Stegostoma tigrinum: one gene and its partner. The main gene of each other region encodes a partner of the protein of the gene in region 2 in a complex. Links are inferred from orthologs where the notes say so. Each region holds a gene or a part of one and is shown on either strand. Other genes may lie near its edges.

Region 1 (8,200 bases), on a different chromosome or scaffold from region 2:
GTGCCAGACTCATAAATACACACTAATTCAAGTTATTTTTGAGCCCAGAGAGGGAAGAAAGAATATGAATAGGTTACAGCAAGGACAGAAAGAATCCCCAGTCTCCGTCAACACATAGAACACAGTGCCCAGTGAAAAAGCAATTTGGGGAAACAAACATTCATTGAGAACACAAAAGATATATGCAAACTTTGTCATTGCTAAAGTTTACAGTACTTGGAAGTGCATGATAAAACAGAGGTCAGTCAGCATGGCTTCGCCAAGGGGAAGTCAAGCCTAACAAATCTGTTAGAATTCTTTGAGGTGGCAATGAACAATGTTGACAAAGGAAAACCCGTTAATACGACCTATCTTGACTTGCATTATTCAGTTTAGGAAGTATGCTCAGAATGGACATGTTGGGCTGAAAGGTCTGTTTCTACAGTGCAGAACTTTATAGTTACATCTACATTTCATGCAGAGTGAGTTGATTTCAGCTGAAAAAAAGTATATGAACAATCATCTTGATCACGTAGAGAGAATAACGTTTGGCACAAAAAAACTGATTATTAATTACTGCTACTTGCAGGGAGGTGCATAAATCTAGGGGAGATACTAGGGCAGGACACTTGTACAGCTGACTAATCACAAAATAATTCGTAGGATCTCAGTTTTCAAAAAAAAAGGATAATGAATGAGATATTTCAGATTTTTCTCCTCTAGATTGGATTCCACCAATTAACTGTTATGCTACACATTACATTAAGATATAGCCACACATTACACCAAGATATAGCCAGAGAACAGATTTGTAAAATTCCAAATTAGAAATATGGACATTACTTGGAAGGTTGGCATTTATAGCCAAGTTGTAGCTGACTTGGAAGAGATGTAGTTGGAGGAGATGATAATGGACCATTTGCTTAGACTAACACCATTTAGGATAAAACATATTCCCACAGTGCTGTTAAGTTCAACATGCCACCAACTGAAATACTGTTCAGATATTTGACAGGGAACATCACAGCTTAGGAATTGAGATAGAGGATTGACATTATCTTAAACATATTACAAATTTACAATATTATTTAGCACTTGCTGAAAGAGTACTCACGTGGTCCTAGGAGATATCCTGCGCTGTTTAATGTCCACCCCCGTTTATCTTTTGCCTGCTGCAGAAATATTTCATGAACAACTTTTAGGTACCAGAATAACAAAACATCCACGTATATTTTAAAACACAAAGCTACTACTTCCAGAAGGGAAGGTTAAATTGCACTAGTTCCCTTTTGAAATGGTGAATAAAAATTAGGGTACAATACTGAAAAATAGCTACAGTTTTTAAAAGCGATGTCATCCTCCACAAATTGATGACTCCATAGTTTTCTGGTCCTCATTTACAATGAATAAAAGAAGGAAAACTGAGCCGTACAAAATACCCTATTTAATAACTTGAGGGTTGAGAATTCCAAAAACAAAACAATTTTGACTGAAAGACAAGAATGGTTGATGAGACATTTAGCAAGATGCAGTGCAAATTTCAGACTGAATCATTCGTAAAGAGATGGGTTTGACTGAATGGACAAAAAGCAGTAGATGCGCAGTGAATAGAATAATGTTTGCAAAAATAAAAGAAAAAACACATTCAAAACAAAAAAAAGGTACTGCAGGGTAGATAGCACTTAAAAAAAATCCCATCAGTGGTCCTGATGGGTAAACTGAATCAACAGAATAAGACCTGATCCGCAATTTTAAACATACATACTGCCGTTAGTTAAGATAGCCTGGTGATATACTGATTTGCGCCGTACAAATTCTGATTTGATTGTGCCGTTCTGAGGTGGCAAAGACACCTGTCCGTAGCCAGCTGGGAGCAATAAAGTCTCAGATTTATTGTTAAACCCTAACTTGAATGAATAAACTGCCACAGCTTTCTTGGTATATAAAAGGCAACGAGAACATGATCTGGGACTAAAAGAAGCCACTTTATGCTCTTGTCAAGCCAGATGAGGTGCTTTTCCAGACCTGGCAGAATATTTAGGTCACCTCTGCCTTGGAGTTGGAGTTGATTTCTTCCCTCACAAGACTGTCTCCCAAAAACTCTCGTTTATGATTCATCTTACTTGAGAGCCTTTTCTTTACGGAAACCAATATTGTCTTATTTCCTACTCCACTCGTGCACATTTTCCCAGTGTCACCTTTTGTCCATTTTGGGCAAGCAGCTACTAAAGTCTGTGGAGTTAAAACGTTGAGAGACTAGCTTTTGGTGGACACCTCGCCCCGGTACAAATCCTTTGAGTAGTTAAACTTCACCTTTCGGGAGAATCAAACCTACACGGTAGGGTTTTTCTGAACAGTTTTCACCAAGCCATCTGAAGTCTCTCTCACTCCCGTTCCGCCTTCATCGTTCCCCAATATTCCCCAAATGCTCTCAAATGCACATGTTTCGGGTGACCTTTATTGCATGGTATAGCCAAAGACCCAACGTCCAGAATTATCATACAATTTCAAAATCAGAAATAAATAGGCAGCATCAATAGTATGCCATTTCCATTTTGAATAGTAACGTTTCAACTGTTATTTAATAGATGGCAGTCTGCAGCAGAGATCCCTTAATCCTACTCTTTCTCATTTTGAGTATTTACTTTTCCCTTCTCAGTTGTTAAAATAATATCTGCCATGCGTTTAAAACACTATTTTCGTCTCGGATTAACAGTATTAACATTGTCGTCCGTATGATTATACTCTGACATTTTTAAAAACCAATCCTGTATTTATGTAGAAAAGGAGAAAGTCGCGAAATGGGCAGCGTTAGGTCCAAATTTACGCAGAGAAATTTGGCACACGATACATGGAGTATCTGAACTAAGAAATTAGGCACTTCAGAAAGAACTCACCGAAAGAACTAACCCGAAAGAATGGGAGACGGCGACACACAAGACTAGAGAGAGACAGAGGAGACTGGCAAATCGTGGCATCTGAAAAGGGAGGGGAAGAAGAAAATAATAGAATTCCTGAAGAACTATCCCAGAGAAAAATAGAACATCATTTTAAGACAACAAAGTAAATAGATACTTATTGGCATGACTATTGCGATCTTACCCTGTTTTTCCTCTGAGTGTTTTCTTCTAAATTCGACGATATGATCTGCTACATCAAATGGTTGAAGCCCCGACAGTTGCTGAATTAACAACTTTGCTTCTTGACGAGAGCAATATCTATCATCACAGAAGTTATTGTCGAGAGTGCAGCGGGCTGTGTGTTTATATGCGAAGCCGATCGGCTCACCAATCTGCCTCCAGCGTCACGAGCTCTATTTTCTCTGTATGTCACTCCCATTAGATCCAAAATTACACCAATTAAATGAAATATACTTTTAGGTAATTTGGCTGCAGAAAGACACGAAGCAGATAATTACATTTGACGAGTGCACTGTCCCAACGGCTGGCTGCCCAACGGGTAAATTGCCTGGTATATACTAGCTATGAATTGTCACATCTGACTTCGAATCAAACACTTCGTCTCCGCGAGTATTGAAATTATTTTCTTTCCTCTCCAGACCCTTATTTTTTGCCGTGTATGACACGCATACTTTCTAAAAAATACAAAAACACTGACACTCCTTTGTCAGAATTAGGTTGTAGTTTTTTAAATTCTTCCCCGTGACTAGTGAACCGATATTGCAGATCAAAATATCTGCAATTTCAATGCTTTTTAATCCTGGATATAATTGGATATAAAAACACGTCGCTCTATGTCATTACTTATTTCCACAATTGTAAATACAAGCGGTTGTCTTAAGCTGGTCACAGTTTCTGTTGTAAATCAAGGTTTACAGGCTTCAGAGACATCTTTTCATTCGTTTGGGGGAATGGGCTTTTTAAAAAATTAAATAATGGAAGTGTACAACCCAGGTTCACAGCTTACAGTTAATTAGGTCGACAAAGCAGTAATATTTAGATGACACTAAATTTAGTACTCAAAACCTTTGTAAATTTTAGATGAAAGGAACTACCGATGAATATATGAAATTTCACTGGTAAGGTACTGGAAAAACAATACAATGGTGCAATCTTCCTTGAGTTCAGCATTGTAGGGTTATGTGTTTTGAAGATCATTCAGGGAATTCACCTTGCTGCACAATGTTGTTTGTAATTATGGATAATGAAGATAGAAGCTCCAACTCTTTCCATCACACGGCTGAGCAGGAATCAAACCCATTCTTATATTGGAAAGATTCGCAGTTTGACAACAATGTATTTGGCATGAATATACCTCCTTTGATCATCAAATGGAACTCAAACCGGAGCTTCTGAATCAATGGCAGAGACCGTTGCACCACAAAATCTTCACTAGGGATCTAGACGTATTAAAAATGTAAGGCTTTAAACAGCTGCACACAATTCATCTGTGTTACAGCAAGAATTTGTTTTGGTGTTTGTTGTTCATGTCCTCAGAGTGTCATGAAGTTATTTACATCCAATTTAATTGTGTTATCCTCAGGTGAGGAGGAGTGATCTGCTTCTCTCAATATATGCCCTTCTTGGTAGGCCACAACATTTTTTTAAGATCACACATATTGAGCTTTATTCAAAAGGTAATTAATTAGATCAAAATTAAGGAGTCAAATTGCAAAGTTTTCTTAAGCGAAAGAAAGGGTATTCTTCGGATTTAAGTTTAACCATGCATATTCCGACACATTTAATAAAGGGACAGAAAGGGAGAATCGCGAGAAACTGAATATTGTATAAACAGAATACAGTTTTGCATCCGAAGAAGAGTTCTCCCAGTGCCCTGACTGATATTGTTCCTCTCACAGCAACACCAGAGGCACGTGCCTCCGTGGCTGTTCATAGTTCTAGCAGATAAATTGTGTGGTATCTTTCAAAATGAACAATTCTTCGTGGAGAACTCAGAATCTACAAACTTCACAACGACTGAAGAAACAAAATAGCTAAAACAGGCTTGAAATCTAACACAGCAACAAGGATTCTAAGCTGCAACTGTCTTTACTTTCTTGGTTATACACATATCATCCACATCCATTTTAAGCTGATTATTTGTGCCTGATACCTTATTATTTGTTTGATGTCACATTTTTTCTTCATTATCTTTCGCTCTAGAAAACCTTGCAATTTGGCTCCCTAATTTTGATCTAATTAATTGCCATTTGGCTAAATTGTAATAGCTGATCACCTCTCCTCACCGTGTAGCGCGGTAGAAGTGTCCCTAAAACGAGACACCCGGATTCAAGTCCCACCTGATCGAGAGGTGAGGAATGACATTTCTGAACAGGTTGATTCGGTACGAAAAGGTCAGTCAACGCCTTAGGATTGCAATAGTTAACGTGACCATACTTCTCTTCATACGATTATTTCCAAAATTTTCAGAAATTATTTCACATGTTCAGCCTTAACACTAAATCAGAGCGAAAGACCTTCAAAATCCCACGTGATGTTCAAGATCATGTGACAGTGAGGCTGGCGCGCGTTCTGTAGCCAAGTCGCATGTGTAGTTCTGTACCTCGTTCAAATGTGTTTGGTGTTCGGAGCGCGTGGCTTTCGGTGAACTGCCGGCCCGGGACGGAAATCATGGGGGTGGTGTTCAACGGAACGTGGGACTTATCGTGGCGCGTTGTTACTAAAGGCGATGGCATGTTGAACATGACCAACTTGGACTTTGAAGAATTCCGAAGGAAAAGTTTGACGAAGAATATACATTTCAAAAGAAACGCCATTCACGTCATCGCTGAAAATCTGCCGCACGTCATTCTGTTCATATTTGGAACCTTTCTATTTGGAGGTAAAAGTCACGGTCGTTATGTAGACCGTAACTTACATCAACGAGAGATGGCAATGGATGATTCGAGTTTGTGCACCATAGTTACAGTTATTTTGATGAGGATGACTGTGTCAAGTTTGGAAATCTGATTGGAAAAATTCAATCATAGAATTTGAAGAAATGGGTGACATACACGGACTTTTAGAAGAACTTTATAGCGCACGCGGTAGACTCCTAGCTAAATTCATAGCATGTTGAGCACAGAATGGCTGTAAACCCGGCTATGAAACAGAAAGCAGTATGTTTAAAGGTTGGCCACTTAAAGTCGTGGAAGGTGGGAAGTGGTACTGTAGAGATGTTTGTTGGAACAACATTCATAATTTAAAGGAAATAATTTGGATTCCAGAATCCAATACTATACCAGAATGTGCTAATTGCACTAAAGATGACAAAATACAAAGAGAGTTTAATACATTTTCAGAAATTAGTGTGATTCTAAGCTGGGCGGCGTGGTGGCTCAGTGATTAGCACCGCAGCCTCACAACACCAGGGACCCGGGTTCGATTCCAGCCTCGGGTAACTATCTGTGTGGAGTTTGCACGTTCTCCCCGTGTCTGCGTGGGTTTTCTCCGGGTGCTCCCGTTTCCTCCCACAGTCCAAAGATGTGCAGGCTAGTTGGATTGGCCATGCTAAATTGCCCGTAGTGTTCAGGGGTGTGTGGGGTTATAGGGGGATGGGCCTGGGTGGGATGCTGCAAGGGGCGGTGTGGACTTGTTGGGCCGAAGGGCCTGTTTCCACACTGTAGGGAATCTAATCTAATCTAATCTAAGTGTGATGGTGCATTTTGGTAGGAAAAATAAAGAAGCTATCTATTACTTAGAAAATAAGAAATGAAATGGGACAGAAGAGTAAAGAGATCTCGGGGTGCAGGCTATATTGTGAAATAGTGGTTATTCAATCAGATCAAATTAAAAATGCAACTGTTGACTTCCTTTCTAGAAGTAATGGAATTTGGAATTGTTGAGTTACGTTAAACTGTAACGTAGGCCCTTAGATAGATCACACTCAGAATACTGTGCCAAGTTCTAGTCTGTTGTACAAAAGAATATAAAAGCTTGGAAAATCATAAAAATGGATTTACAAGTATGATATCAGAGCTGAGAGGTTTGTTTTATCCAAAGAAATGGCTGAGTTGTGACCTGATCAAAGGCTTCAGCGTTATGAAGGGGTTCATGACGCAGATGTAGATGGACTTCAGGAAGGAATTTACTAAAGGCTTATCAAGAAGGTAGAAACTCATGGAATTAAAGGCAAATTGGTGGTATGGATTTGCAATTGGCTCAGTGATATGTTGCAAAGAGTAGTGGATTGATGCTTTTGAGACTGGTATACTGTTTCCATAGGTTTTTCTCAACCATCATTTGAGTCAGTTATTCAATTTTTATTAATGACCAACACCAGGTGTCAGCAACCCTTTTAAAGTTTTTTTTTAAAGAAAGGCCTAAAATGAGAACTTTAGGAATCTCAAGCTGAAAGTTTGACATTCTTAAGTTAGATATTTGGCAACTTGTCAAATGTCTTTATAGGATGCTAAATCTGCTCATTAAATTCAATGCTAATGTTTTTAGTGTATCAATAGAAAATAGATTTAACTCTCATCATTGCATTTGTACTTTATTTTCTTTTTCATCGTAATATTACCTTAATCATCTTGAATTAGGGTGCATAGAATTGAAAGCATTTTGTAGGTTATGGATTCTCATAGTTAGAAAATAAAAATTGATGCATATTTGGAATAACTTGTCTTATGAAGCATATTTGAAATAATAATGGTTGTGACCATAAAACCTGTCTATTGAAATAAAGGCATTATCTCTAATCATGCATAGCTGTATATATTCAAACAGAAATATTTCAACCATGTTGGTATTTTTTGTTTAAAATAATTATTTAGAAATGTATAGTGAATGATATTGTGGAGACCTAGCAGTGGACTGCCTGGAAGTATTGTGGACTTTAACTTCAAATTTTCAAATATACTTCCTAAAAGAATGCTGGTACAGCCAAAAATGGCAGTCGATGTAAATTTAAGTGGTTGTTTGGAGGGAATACCCATCACATGTCACACTGGATGCAAAGGAAACTCTTGTTAAAAAAAATGAGAAGGGAGAGGCAAGTCAAAACAGACTGGATGGTGATTTCCTGTGAATGCAGTGATGATGAAGGGTTGACTACCCCTGTTGATTATGTGTCACACTGCAGACATATTTTGTGCTTTTTCCTTTGAAGAGTACACAAGGATTAAAAATCATTTTCAACTCTGTGCTAATTGCACTGAAAGTTTTTTTTGTGTGTGTACACAGATCAGCCGGGGCTTGAGCGTTAGTTTGCTGTGAAGGTCACATCTGAAGAATTAACTCCAGTCATCCCTGTGTAGGAC
Region 2 (7,683 bases):
GCCTGGGATGGGGGTGAGGGGGGAGGTGTAGTGACAGGTGTAGCACTTGCTTCGGTTGCAGGGAAAAGTGCTGGGTGTGGTGGGGATAGAGGGGAGTGTGGAGCAGCCAAGGGAGTCACCGAGAGAGTGGTCCCTCTGGAAAGCAGATAAGTGTGGGGAGGGAACAATGTCTTTGGTAGTGGGGTCAGATTGCAGACGGCAGATGAATAATCCTTGATGATAGACAACCTAACCAAGTAGAAAGTTACATCTGCAGCTCCTCAACCAAATGACTTCATTTCAAATTGTAATGAAGATTCCTGCTAAGCCAACGTCAACATTTTTCACTTTCCACACCAACTTACAGGGTTCTGTGAATAGCAGGCCAGTTCACCAAAATATCAGCAGCAGTTCTCTGCACCTTGTTTAAGACTGATCAGGTTCAAAAAATCATTTAAGTTAGCATCTTTTGCACACAGAGACGGTGGTAGAGAAAGAATCAGAAATGCTTTTATTTCATAGTTATAGCCTAGAAGTGAAATGTGGAATATCAATGAAGACAAAGACTGATGAGAATGTGGAATAACTGATCATAGGAAGATGATGAAGTCAATAGACAGATACATTTAGGAGGAGGGTAGAGAATCATATGAAGGCAAAGGAATACAGACTTATGAACATTAGATTTAGATTCAGAAAAATGGATGAAGTGTCAAGTGGCAAATGAATGCCACACGGGCTGCTTTGTGCCCTATGTCTAATGTGGTCCTGTGTTTTTGGTTAGCTTACTCATTCCACCAACTTATTCTCAATAATTCATTGCAAGTTTTTCATAAAATTAGTTTAGTTTGTGACTTTTTCTCAGGAGCTGTCAATCCATGAGCATTTTTTCTTCCAAGAAAATCACCTTTTGTCTTAGGAAAGTCTAGTTAGACCTGTTCCTCACAGAAGGTGTTGAGCTTAAGATCTTAACGACTTGGGTAAAATAGATCAGAATTTTTGTTTTTCATTTGTTGTTCTTCCATAATGATGGCAAGGCTGGCATCTATTGTCCACCTCCACCTGATTTTGAGAAGGTAGTTGTGAGCTGCCTTCTTGAACTGTTGCAGGTGTAGGGACACTCAGAGCTCTGTAGTTGAGGGAGTTGCAGGATGCAAACCCAGTAATTAACATTGTTATACCTGTCACATTGTCAAAAGAAATCGTTCACCGTCCCAGCCTCAAAAAGCTATGCATTCACACTTGTGTGTAGGTCCGTGCAGTTTAACAGGTATTGTACTAGCTGAAGCTTGTTATTTTCCTAAACTGAAATCCAGGCAGACCAAATCGTCACCACTAATGGTTGCTGCCCAACAAGAAGGCGTTCAGCAGATGGCAACTTTAGGATTGAGGTAACAATCGACAAAGGAACATGCCTCAGACTCAAACTTCAATGTTTGATTGTTTTCTTCACATATTTCCGTACAGAATAGAACTGCTTTAGTCACTGAATGTATACACATATATTTTAATGAATAAAATATATTTTTGAAGCTAAAAGTAGTCTCAAATTCTAGTTGAAGTTCCAAGATTGATGTTCACTTAACCTATCCCCCCCAGCGCAGCGTGTGTGTGTGTGTGTGTGTGTTTAATTTACAAAATCCAGCCAGCAAAGATATGGATTCCCAGCAGTCAGAACCATGTTATACGAGAAATCATCAAAAATGGAAAAGTACTTTCACAGGAATACACCTTCCCCCTTTCACTGCCCTACACCCCGTGGAATGACCATTAAATCGGGAGAAGTTTGACTTGGACTGCCGTAAAGTGTCTCGGCATGAGGAGAGATTGGGAAAAACGTGCCGTGAACGACGAGGGTGATTCCAATAGAATGAGTGAGTTCAAATCTATCAAGTGTCAATCACCATCTAAAACTATTAACTAGGGGCGGCAGTATCCTGCAGATGTGGGAGTCTGTTTTTGTTTACTGGCCTTACCTTGGCATAACAGTAGCAAATGAGAAGCAGGGGCAGTAGGTAGCCCACCACGAAAGTGGCCACCTTGTAGATCTGCCTGTGACTGAGGACGGTCCAGTTCTCCCAGCAGAAGGGACCCTGATCCTTCTTGTGAACCAGCATGTGGTAATAAGCGACCGGCGAAGCGGTGGCGAGGGACAGGAGCCAGATGAAGATCACACTGAGGACAGCGTTCCTGGTCACCCGAATGCAGGAGGACTTTCGCGAGTGGACAATAGCGATGTAACGATCCACGGCCATGGCCGACAGGGTGAAGATGCTGACCAGCACCGATACGGTGAAGAAGTAGTGGACAAACTTGCAAATGAAGCCGCCGAAGATCCAGCTGGGCAGCACGTAGTAGGTGGCCTGGAAGGGGATGCAGAACAGCAGGTAGGAGAGGTCAGCGATGCTCAGGTTGAGGATGAAGATGTTAGTGGTGCTGAGCGTTTTGCCCGGTTTGCTGCGGGCCAGCACCGTGATAACCAGCGAGTTGCCAAGGACCCCGAGGCAGAAGATCAGGCTGAAGATGAAGAGGACAATGAAGCCGTCAGCGTTGATCTGCTGCTGCTGTCCTGCGGCCAGGTTCCCAGCCGTTGTGTCATTGGTCTCTATACTGCTTTGGTTCTCATCCATATTGACCAACTGCAATTAAATTGTAACAATCAAACACATTACATGGACGTTGAGTACATTTGCAAAGTAAAGACTGCTCTAGAGTTAGCGCAATTGAATGGCTTGCTTCAAAATCGAATGGCCCTTCAAGCCCGGTTCCCTAAATCCTTTCATCAACACATCCCCAAACTTGGTTTCATTCGCGTGTACCTTGAGTTGTACTTTCAATCATTCACATCAGACCTACTTGTAGAATGCCGTTTGCCGTGGAGTTTATAGACTTGCGATTCGCTCCCGTACGCTTCTGTCTTCCAATGATCCTCTCCCTCTCTCTCTCTTTCACTCTGATTTCTTCCCCTTTCTCCACCTTGGCTTTGTTTTAATACATACTCGTTCGGTAGCCGTCGTAAGGAGCTGATTCTCGTTTTCCGCCGTCTCCTTATTTGCCGCCGAGTAAAGCGGATGCCTCAGCTGCTAACTCAGTGCACGCTTCACATCCTGCTAGTTTGTCGCTGCCGAGCATCTCTCTGGAGCTCTGAGCCTCCACGCTATAGTGTCACGTACACACAACACACACACACACCATCCCCAGCCACCAGTTCTGTTCTTGTGGTGAAAGACAAGTGACTGATATCATGCAAGAGTGGATTCACCCCCATAATTGGCACATGATTAAAAGTTGTTGTTGTGTTGGACAGACAGTCACGGAATTTTCCAAGGTGAATGATATCCAGTATGTTTTTTATTTGGTGACGTTTTTCAAATCAAAGTCATCACCAGATAAATGCTTCGTTGTAAATATTATTTAGGGATTTGGCAAAGATGTTTACATGATAACCATTGAGGATTTCTGTAGGGGCAATGGAATGAGGGACGCAGCAAATTCAGGTATGATCAAATAACTGCACCGTCCCCATGACCTTGGGGTATTTCAAAATGAATTGTTGTCACTGCCTAAGAAAAAGTTGTATTTATGTAGCGTCTTTAGCAACCACGCAATCTCTCAAGTCCCTTTGGAAGCAATCCGGTACTTTTGAGATGCAGTTAGTGCTGCGACACGGGAAACTCAGGGGCTAGGTTGCGCACAGCAAGATTCCACCATCCGCTGTTGGTCCTCCTCGTGTAATCCGCACATATGATGTGTGTGAGGGATAGGCTTTGGCCAGGACACCAGGAATTACTCCCTTTCTCTTCCAAGTATTGCCATCATCGCTACATTACCACCTCGCATAGAGTCATCATAGAATCCCTATAGTGTGGAAACAGGCCCTTCTGCCCAAACAGACCACACCGACCCACACAGCATCCTACCCAGATCCATCCGCCATAATCAACACATCCCTGAACAATACAGGCAACTTAGCATGGCCAATCCACCTAGTCTGCACATCTTTGGACTGTGGGAAGAAACCAGAGCACCCAGAGGAAACCCACACAGACACAGGGAGAATGTGCAAACTCCACACAGACAGTCGCCTGAGGGCAGAATCGAACCCAGGTCCCTGGCGCTCTGACGCAGCAGTGCTAACCACTGAGCCACCGTGCGGCCCATAATAATCACATAAAAGAGAAGACAAGGTCTTAGAGTGAAAACAAACCACACTTCATTCTCTTAGTACTGGACTAGAGCATCAATCTGAATGGCTGTGCTCAAGTTGTAGAGTGGGACTTGAAACATGACAGTTAGCACATTTGTCTTCATTGCCTAGTCCTTCGAGTATAGGCATTGGGAAATCATGTTGAGGTTGTACAGGACATTGGTGAGGACTTTTCTGGAGTAATGTGTTCAGTTTTGTTTGACCTAATATTGGAAGAATATTATCAAAATACAGAGGGTTCAGGAGAGATTTACCAGGGTGTTGCAGAGTATGGAAGATTTGAGATATAAAGAAAGGCGGGGACTTTTTTTACTGGAGCACAGGAAGTTGAGAAGTTATAAAATCATGAAGAGTTTAGATAGGGTTAATGATAGGTGTCTATTCCCTAGGATGAGGGATTTCAAGACAATGAGGTATATTTTTAAGTGCGAGGAGAGAAATTTAAAAAAGACTTGGAGGCAAAGTTTTTACACAAAGGGTAGTTTGTATGTGGAATGAACTTCCCGAGGAAGTGGTGGATGTGGGCATAGTTACAATGTTTAAAAGACACTGAGATAAGTACATGAATAGGAAAGTTTGCAGGGATATGTGCCAGGAACATGCAGGTGGGACTAGTTTACTTTGGGATTATGCTCTGCATGGATTAGTTGGACCAAAGGGTATGTTTCCATGTTGCATGACTCTATGTCTCCATGCTGCCAGCTGAGGCAATGCTGGAAAACAGTCAAGTGGGAACCACAGCAGTCAATTTATGCCCAGTAGGGCACACAGACAACAGAGATAAATTATCAGAGAACTAATTCATTTTAACAATGCTGGTTTGGGAATAACTACTGTACTGTGCACAAAAATTATTTCAATTTTCTTCAAATAGTGCTATAGTTTTCTTGCATAGGATATATATTTTCTTATACAGGTTTTCTTAAAATCTTTTACTTTATCATTTCACCTTAAAAGGCAACACATTAGGCATTTCAGTCCTCCCTCAGTAATGCACTAGAACAACAACCTAGATTTTACAGTCAGGCATCTACGGTCAGTCTGGAAATCCCAACTTTTGATTCAGAGGTATAAGGGCTACCAATTAAGATATTGCTAGCACTTCAATTCTACAGTAAATACATCTTAAGCCTCCACTAACCAGATCCTCAGAAAAGCGATGTTAGGTAAATGTCTAGCTGTGTTTCAGAAAATGCACCACTGAACTATGTAAGCAGCATAGAAAATACACCAGTTGACCTGATGGACCAGAAAATGTTCTTCTATGAATAAAAAAACTACAGATGCTGGAAATCTGAAACAAACTTAGCAGGTCTGGCAGTATCCATGGAGAGAGAAGAACAGAGTTAACCTTATGAGTCCAGTGTGACTTCTTCAGAATGTTCCCATGTTTTTTACTGCTCTTCTATGGTTGAATTGAAATAACTGAAGGAACTTCGTCATTCAGACCAGATTTGCTTGCTTACATTATTTATGCAACAACAAAGAAACAAAACTACTGATAAGTTTCTTTTGTACACTTTGCTTGGTCTCCCAAGTGCTCAGAAGTTTCAACAGACAATGGAATCCACAAGGAGGAGTTATGTTTGTCTGGCATCAAGAGTACACACTCCCCTTTGTGCCTCCAGAGATATCACAGAAAATTGACAAGAACCAAGGCTTGTTGACTCCCCTCATGTACAATGGGATTTCCCTGACTGTCAATCTTTTGACAATCTTACGTAGTTCAAATCATCCTACTCATTCCAGTGTTCTCTCACTAAGTGACCTGGATCCATTGAAATGAGTTCAATCCCACCATTGGAGAGTTGTTTCTCTAGTCCCTATCAATAACACATGTTGGCTACTCAAGTGCTTGGAATACTGACTAAATGTAACTGACTCAGTAAAATGTGTACTTAACTCCCATTGGCAGACAGTTCTATTTGACTCCTACAATTTTGTTCATGGCCCTCATGAAGATATTAACTATAGATTGTACACCCAATGGAAGCAAAATAAGTCAGTTTATTCATTGAACTTCTAGATTAGACAAGGAATGTCAGCAAGAGATGGGAAAACAAAGTAATATTTCAAACACAGTTGAGCAAATGCTCCAGAAAATAGTCTGGATGAATGCAAAACTGTACCAGTTGTCTAAGAGCAGTTTCTGATGTGTACCAAAACAAAACAGCACAGATACACAGCTGAATGATTTGTAGTATAACTGTTCATGGACCCCGATTTTAGCTGAACATGGTTTGAAAAATACTTCAACTGGATTTCAATGGCTATTTGGGGTACAATAGTATAAAGAATGATTTTAAAAGAATGACACTAAATGGGAAAGCAAGAGGAATAGCACTATTCCCTAATAAAACCTGCTGCTACAGATTCCATTTTGTATATCTGTGCTACTGCATATTATATACATTATTTAATAAAGAACTTTATATTTTCATCTCTCAGGCTGCAATAGGAATATTTTGTAACAATAATTTTTGCACAATAAAGAACCAGTCAGGCACAGAAATCCACCCTGCACAAGATTAACATTAAAGTTAAAAACAGAAATTACTGGAGAAACAGAGCAGGTCAGAGGAGGAGGCAAAGCAAAGTTTCAAGTCTGGTGATCCTTCTTCACAACAGCTCTGAGTTTCTCCAGAAATTTCTGATTTGTTTCAGATTTCCAGCATCCACAACTCTTTGTTTTGTTGCCATTTTAGTCATAATTTAAAATTAATACATTTGCATTTACATTTAATCTAAGGTCATCTGAAACTCAGTTTAAACTGTTACTCTTCAGAGTCAATGAATTGTCATTTTTGTTGCATTTTCTTTGCAAATTAATTTATGTGTTTGCCAAAAATAAAATCTGATGGCTTGTCTGATTCATTTCTGAGGAAGGTCAAAATTGCCAATTTGCACAGTTTGTTCCGATTCTGTTGGTAGCATTATGCGATTTGAAATGACTCTTTGGGATAACAATGCAGTATCTATTGACTACAGAACCACAAAGTTTGCAACTACCTCTCATAACTCCTTGTCTGCAATACTGGAGTTTGTGACACTTATTGATAAAGATTTTTTTATGCTGATGCCTCTAACGACATTGGCACTAAACATTAATGTTGATGGGATATCTACTTATCTTTTCTAGTCATTAATGGGTAAAGGAATATGACTTTTAAATACAGGTCAGTAACATGTAGTTGGAAGACCAGAAACAAAGTTGTGAATTGTGCTTTAAAACATAGATAAGCCTGGCATGAGGATATGGCCTCACCACTTCTTATTTCTATAACAATCGCCACTCCTACAACCCTTGAAATCTCCATAGTTTTCTACTACTTGCACATTGTTGACTTCCTTTACTCCAACTTTGACTGTCATACCTTCAGCTGGCTGGGCACTAAGCTCTGGAATTCTCATTCTAAACCTTTCTGCCTCTCTCCCTTCTGATCTAATTTCTGAAAATCCATTGATTTTATCAAGTGTTTGGTCACCACTCATAATAC

Evidence for each region.
Region 1: the proteins of galr1a (region 2) and galanin peptides are in contact, whole or in part, in a cryo-EM structure (PDB 7WQ3), measured with the Homo sapiens proteins. The link is inferred for Stegostoma tigrinum from reciprocal best matches to the Homo sapiens genes GALR1 and GAL. Residues at the interface, in NP_001471.2 of Homo sapiens: Glu32, Gln92, Thr94, Val95, Tyr96, Leu98, Pro99, Thr100, His112, Gln174, Phe177, Arg180, Gln184, Phe186, Cys187, Trp188, Glu189, Gln190, Ile266, His267, Ala270, Phe275, Leu277, Ser281, Phe282, Arg285; in NP_057057.2 of Homo sapiens: Gly33, Trp34, Leu36, Asn37, Ser38, Gly40, Tyr41, Leu42, Leu43, Gly44, Pro45, Val48.

What each region holds. Positions count from the first base shown.
Region 1 is NC_081370.1:17,402,014-17,410,213, reverse strand, and holds the start of galanin peptides, read right to left. Parts: upstream 3,242-8,200; 5' UTR 3,082-3,241; intron 2,958-3,081; coding exon 2,877-2,957; intron 1,152-2,876; coding exon 1,094-1,151; intron 1-1,093. UniProt on the Homo sapiens protein: Endocrine hormone of the central and peripheral nervous systems that binds and activates the G protein-coupled receptors GALR1, GALR2, and GALR3.
Region 2 is NC_081358.1:41,256,749-41,264,431, reverse strand, and holds the start of galr1a (galanin receptor type 1), read right to left. Parts: upstream 3,099-7,683; 5' UTR 2,836-3,098; intron 2,619-2,835; 5' UTR 2,610-2,618; coding exon 1,956-2,609; intron 1-1,955. UniProt on the Homo sapiens protein: Receptor for the hormone galanin. The activity of this receptor is mediated by G proteins that inhibit adenylate cyclase activity.